2 linked regions of the Arabidopsis thaliana genome follow. The protein of the gene in region 2 interacts with the protein of the main gene of each other region in a pairwise test. Each region holds a gene or a part of one and is shown on either strand. Other genes may lie near its edges.

Region 1 (3,360 bases), on a different chromosome or scaffold from region 2:
TGCAAACACTCCGGGCGTAACACTTCTCTTCAACTCTGTTTATGAGTTGATAAGAGTGTCATTCAATGGCAACGATATCCAAAACCTTGATCAGCCAATTCTAGACCAATTAAAGGCCGAAGCTTATCAAAACCTTAACCGCATTACAGCGGTTAACGATAGGACCTTTGTGGGTCATCCACAAAGGTCCTTACAGTGCCCGCAAGATCCTGGATTTGTCGTAACATGTTCTGGATCGCAGCACATCGACTTTCAAGGTATACAATATGTAATGGTCATGGTGTTAAGTCTTTTGATATATCTATATCTTACTATAGACTAATTAATAAAAAAATTGATGTACCTTTTTTCGAAAATATAGGAAGTTTGGATCCATCAAGCTCTTCGATGGCTCTTTGCCACAAAGCTTCAAGCTCAACGGTCCACCCTGATGTCCTGATGAGTTTTGATAACTCATCAACCGCGAGGTTTCATATCGACAAAAAGTTCTTACCGACTTTCGGAAACAGCTTCAAAGTAAGTGAACTCGATCAAGTACACGGAAAATCACAAACTGTTGTGACAAAAGGTTGTATAGAGAATAACGAGGAGGATGAGAACGCGTTTTCTTATCATCACCATGATGACATGACCTCAAGCTGGTCACCTGGTACGCACCAAGCCGTTGAAACGATGTTTCTTACCGTGTCTGAGACGGAAGAAGCTGGAATGTTCGATGTTCATTTTGCAAACGTTAATTTGGGATCTCCAAGAGCCAGGTGGTGTAAGGTTAAGGCAGCTTTCAAGGTTAGGGCAGCTTTTAAGGAAGTCCGGAGACACACAACTGCCAGAAATCCGAGGGAAGGCTTGTAAGAACTCTTGCCTACCTATTAAAATCAGCGGTTTCTTGCGTTGCACGATAAATGTGTATATATATTTGTGAATAGGGTTAGATAAATGGATCCCGGCCATTGAGTTACGGGGATTAGCCTTTGCGTATATCAAAGTATTTTTTTCCCTGGGTAAGTATAGCTGTGGCACAGGGTTTGTAAGTTGTAACCATATGCCGTATAAGAATCAGAGGTTTCTTGTTGTACACGAAAGCTATGTATAAATAAAAGCTATGTATATATGTTTTTTTCTACCATAACTTTTCAATAATGGATCTCGGCTATTGATTGTTCTAGACCAATATGATACATGAATAATCTTTGCGTACACCTAAATTTTATAGTGAAAAATACATAATTTTAAAACTTTACTTTTGTAGAGATGCCTAAAAAAAAATGGTTTACCACATGGACATTGTTATTTGTTCAGATCTCCAACGTATAGCAATATTTGTGATTTATAGATATGTAATTTGGTGTTCAAAGAATGTGTAGAACAATTATTCTTATGGGTATGCCAAGAAAAGTTATATAACTTTATTCTATACTGCTTTCACGTTAAATAATGTAACATTATTAATGTTGTCCTTTTACTTTTCCTTGAATTGATTTGGGAAGAAGACTATTGGCTTCCTTATCACATCAAAAAGTCTATGAGTAAGTGAAACATTGGCTGGCTTTTGCTTCATTCCTTTGTCTCTGTCTTCATGTGAACAAGTTTGCAGAAATTTGTGGTTTCTTTTTTTACTTTCTTTTGTCTAATACACACACTCTCACCACTATTATAAAGAAAATCCATAGATCCCGGTCGTGCGTACTGCCACTTTGCTTTCCACCCGACAATGATTTGGGAGATGTTTTGTTTTGTGTCATACATCTACCAAAAAAGTCTTAATCATTGTTCATCAAAAGAGCGCCCAAGGGCTCTTTCGTCTTCTTACCACACGCACACTAGTTCGAGAGGGTTTTTAAGGAGCTCTTAAGCCTTTCTTGATGACTCATACCACGAACAAGAACCAATCTTGTCACCCATATAATCTCCGTATTCAGAGAATTGAAGAGTTCTTGATCACTACTGTTGTATCAAAAAGGAACTCTAAGAACTAAGATTGTTTTTTTTTATTTGATGGATCCAAGGAAGCTACTATCTTGTTCATCCTCTTACGTGTCAGTGAGAATGAAAGAAGAGAAGGGGACAATTAGGTGTTGCAGTGAGTGTAAGACCACCAAGACACCAATGTGGAGAGGTGGACCAACTGGTCCTAAGGTCTCTTCTTCTACCTTTAATTACTATATTCATAACTTTGTTTGATCTTAAGATAATTCATCAAGTGTTCTTAAGTTGTTTATTTTGATTTGTGGTGGGATTTGCAGTCACTTTGCAATGCATGTGGAATTAGACACAGAAAACAGAGACGATCAGAGTTATTGGGTATTCATATTATTCGCAGCCACAAAAGCTTAGCCTCCAAGAAGATAAACCTATTATCATCATCACACGGTGGCGTGGCGGTGAAGAAACGAAGGAGTCTAAAGGAGGAAGAACAAGCTGCTTTGTGTCTATTGTTATTGTCTTGTAGCTCTGTTTTGGCCTAAGTCAAAAAACAGAATATCTCTCGCTAGAAAGTTAAAAAAACACAGTTTTGTCCTCTCCTTTGTTGACGTTCTATATCTATTTTGGGTCACTCTTTTGAATATGAATAATTTAAGATTTAATGAAATAAGTTGGGCCTAACTTTGTGTCGAAAGGCCACAAATGAATTTTAAATAGATTGGAGTATTTCTGTTTGGGCTTTACATTGACTTGGTTGGAGATGGTCTTAGAGTAACTTGAATAAGATCTTCACGTAGATCATCACTGCGAGACGAAATCGGGTATGGACTGATCTGGGTGATCATGCTTCTCGGAGTGCAACATTTCAACCGAAATCAGATCGTGCTCGAATACTTTTCATAATGTACCAAACTATAAAGTAGGGTGATGAAATTTGCCAAAAGTGGAAACATGTCGACCCTTCTTACTTCAAGCCACGTAGATCCGTATTTGTCGGATCGGGTCACAGATCCGAATAAAACGGGTCTCTCTCTCTCTCCCACTCTCCCTCTCACGCGACCTGTTTACTTCAATCTCAATTATGCTCTCTCCCTCTCTCTATTAAACAGTCGATTTCTTACAAAAATTCTCACTTCCGTGCAAGCAAATGCAGTCTTGTTTCGAGTTTGATTCACACAAGGCAAGTATCTTCTCCTCTCCGATTCATTTTCTCCTTCTGGGTCATTTCGATTCTCTGTAATTAAAGACAAAGTTCGTCTCTTTTTAGGTCTCCTCGTTGAAAAAAACTCAGATTTTGTTTGATTCCCTTCTTCATTTCTGCAATTCCTCACTTGTTTTCGAATTAAAATCAAAAATTCGTTTCTTTTGAATTTGACTTATCGTTTTCTTTACCCTGTTTGATTTGTCTGGATGCTTACACAATTAGGTGAAAGTTAT
Region 2 (3,877 bases):
ACGAATTGGACAATAAAGGAATAATACCTTTTAAAAACATTTTTTTTTTTAATTAAATGGGATAAGCATCCAATACACACATAAGCAAATGGAGTTCCGTTGGTGTCGGAAGTGACATGTGTAGACAAAAATTAAAGGGACCTCCAACACTGGATGATGGATCTTAAGCTTATCATTCCAATCACGCAAATTAATTTAATATACAAACCTGCCGACTCCATTTATTATATGTATTTTTAAAGCTGTACAGTTACGAATTGATGCACATATTTGTTTGGAGATTTAATGGGAAATGTCGAATCAATCTTACACCAAATCTATTTGAAAGAATAAGATCTAAAGTCAAGCTAGTTATATCCACCACTAAATTCACTTATTCTGTTCGTTTAAGGAGTATTCAGAATTTACAAACTCTTCTCATTGTCTCCGAAGAATCACAAGTACTCGTCTTGAGATTGGTAAGAGACATCAGTTTAAAATCTTATTTTTAAAATGTATATTCTTATATTAATAGCCATGACATAAAATCGTCTTTACAGTGTATACAAAAAAAATACAACATTCATAAAATCGTTGGATTGTACCTACAATAAGTATATAGGTTATTAAAAAAAAACATCAAGTTTATATCATTCAAATTCACATATGTTTTTTAGTCTCACGTTAGATCATATTATAACTTTTGAGATGAAATTTCTAACAAATTTTTTGAAATTTGACTATAAATCAAATTGAGGCGTGTACGAATTGCACGTGTAAGAACATATGTACACAACTTGTAACGAATACTCACCTTGTAATATAAATACATGCATATGTACCAATAGGAAGAACGTACCCATGGCCATATACACTAATTAAGCAACAAGAAAGTGATTATGTTCAAAATGTTGCCTCCATCAATTACGCAAATGCACCAACACGGCACACAGTATTAAAAAAAAAAAAAAAAAAACACAGCACACAATGATACAAAGAGATTTATGGATTAACCTTGTCAACTAGTATATGTACGGTCAGCAAACTAAGGAACAAGAAAATGATTTGCTTCCATAGTACGATTTATTGTTATTCCATAATTTATAAATGCTCGATCCTCTACCTGACTTTATTTTGTATCGGATGACGATGATGATCGAGAATTTTCTAGTAAAGCCATCTAATAAAGTTTTTTTTCTTTTTTTGAATAATTCCACAACATCACTTGGAATTATTTTTTTCTTCGAAAACATACATAAACCTAAATAAATTACAAAACTCAAATTGCATCAAGAATACTATATGTCTCGTTTTTTCCCCTTCATGATCCCAATGAAATACGCCACTATAGTACATATAATCTTAATCATATATCTCTCTTTAATTTGTTATGCCGCATCTCCGGCAAAACCTAGATGAAGATCCAGCGAGTTAATACTTCTCATCTGATCAGAACGAGAACTCAGATCTCTCTGGAACTGAATCATGTTCGGTCGAACACCGTACAGCTTACCCATCTCACCGCTTTGTTCATTAAGATCTTGGCACGTGTCATTATTACCGAAGTTAATCTGCGACGACCTCGACGACCAATCTTCGTTGTACACACCCATCTGATCATTATTCACGTGCATGGAGGAGAATGCACAATACGACGGCGTTTTGTATTGTCTCTGAAATGACGTCGTTATGGGTTGTTGGTGGTTGGTGAGATAATAGCCGATGCTGGCTCGCCGAGCTTGAAGCTGAAGCCTCTTCTTCTTCAACCTCTCCTTCTTGTGAGCGTTTTGGTGACCTCCTAAGGCTTGAGAATTTGCAAACTCTTTACCGCAGTATTGGCACTCGTGTCTTTTCATCACTGTTAACGACGTCGTGTTTGTGGACGAGCTCACGCTTTCCGCCGTCGTGATTTCCGGCGTACGACTGCCGCTGATGAGTTCGAAGCCGAATAGCTTTATCGTCTTGTCGGAGGACGAACCTGAAGAACTTTCGCCAGTACGAGACATTGTCGGATTTATAGACATATATGTGTGAACGTATGTGTTTATCGATGGGTTTAATTTGCTTAAGGAGATGTGTAAATGATCTTCTTTATATAGCAAGAGAGAGACGGGGGATATTTAGTTTAATAGTTTGTAACTAATGATGCATTGCATCTGTAATAGTATAATATATTGTATGTCTAAAGAAATTTTATATTGTATGAAGGGTTTTTTATATTAGTCATGAACAGCATCAAGTTATAGTATTTTAGGGTTTATAATAAAATTAGTTGTTTGAATCTAAGGTGTGACGAGAAATGATCTTGGAAAATAAACCTTGATAGGTACAATAAATATTACACTAACATGTAATAGGTTTTATAGAGATATATGTGGATACCACGCGCATATGCATATATGGGAAAGAAAAAGGGCAAAATGATAAAACGGGTTAGAGAAATCTTTTAAATACTATATATAAAGACTTAACTTGTCAACTTGTTTTATCTTTTATCTTATGTATTATACTATTATATCTACATTTACTTAAAATTGATCAAATTTAATTTATTTTAAATATTGTGGAAAAATACTTTCTGTTTAGTGCGTGAATAAAATAGTTAGATTAAGTTGAGATATGATGAATAAATAAATATATTTGAAAAGGCATGCAGCGATCACACCACTTGTGACAATTAATACAAAAGTTATATTCTAAGCTTAAAGAGAACATTAAGATGTTAATATCATATTATTGATCTAATATCAAAAGTCAAAGAAAGATATGAAGAAATAAGGCTAACCAACTTAGGCCAAAAAATATAATCAACATGGAAGGTTAAGTATAATATTTTGATCCCATAATGATATTAAATTTCACTATGTATTTGAATAACGCATATATCCATCATAAATTTAAGCGAGCAGATGACATTTTGTATCAAAACGTTCACTCAAGAGCATATTGCAACAAGAACGAAATCAAACGAATCGTCGTCCCTTGTTCTCTAACAAAGTTAATAGTCTACTGGATATTCTTTTTATTGATGTGTTTTTATGTAATTATCATTGTAGATTTTTGAAATTTCCCATCAATTAAAGTTGCTCGCAGAGAGAATTGATGATGGAGCATGAATTGAAGCTTTCTTGTAATTTATCTCAATGTCTTCCACCTAAACCAAATCTTATTTGTCTAATTACTGTGAAAAAGAAAGAAAAAGCCTATCTTGACCATGTTTAATGAATGTTAATTACTTATTACATTAAACAGGGAGAATAGTTAGTTGCCAAATGAAGGAATACAAGAAGTGGGCAATGATGCAAGCATCTATACTATTTAACAAATAAAAATTATATTCATAAGTCTAATCTTCAAAACAAGATCTTGGGCAAATCTTCATAAAGCATGAGAAGACAATATTTTATACAGAAAGAAAACTGATATTAAAGAAAGGTATAGATTATTCTATTTTCAGGTGAATCAAGTCATGGGATAATCTTATTTTAATACAAATAAGTCTAATGAAATGGCATTTGGTTTGGACAGTTGTTCCAATTAAGGACCCCACTGCTCTGTAACTTAAAAGATAGATCAAGACAATTAAGTGAAATAACAATAATTAATCCTTATTAGGTGTTATAATTATATTCACTCGTACAACCTAAGATCTCTGATTGGTAGACTTTCTTGCCACCAATAGGTGTCTCATGCAATCAAAGCCTCTTTCCTCTCGCTCAGGTCCTTTATTTAAAATTTTGAAGTAAGAAATTGTAATATTATATCAATCGAGGGAAAGAAGAATTCCAAATAAGTATGCTGTCAACGATAATCTTTTATTTATCCAATAGCATGTGGAATAATTTTAGCTAATTATGATTTTCTGAAAGTTTCTTTATGGTGGCTACTAGGTGGGTGG

What was found.
Region 1: the proteins of ZFP5 (region 2) and GATA23 interact in a two-hybrid assay, tested with the Arabidopsis thaliana proteins (one large-scale study listed by BioGRID).

What each region holds. Positions count from the first base shown.
Region 1 is NC_003076.8:9,477,597-9,480,956, forward strand, and holds GATA23 (GATA transcription factor 23), read left to right. Parts: upstream 1-1,827; 5' UTR 1,828-1,995; coding exon 1,996-2,136; intron 2,137-2,243; coding exon 2,244-2,465; 3' UTR 2,466-2,604; downstream 2,605-3,360. Other genes in the region: CBP60G (Cam-binding protein 60-like G), read left to right, coding at 1-257, 362-852. UniProt on the Arabidopsis thaliana protein: Transcriptional regulator that specifically binds 5'-GATA-3' or 5'-GAT-3' motifs within gene promoters.
Region 2 is NC_003070.9:3,447,860-3,451,736, reverse strand, and holds ZFP5 (zinc finger protein 5), read right to left. Parts: upstream 2,047-3,877; 5' UTR 2,004-2,046; coding exon 1,368-2,003; 3' UTR 511-1,367; downstream 1-510.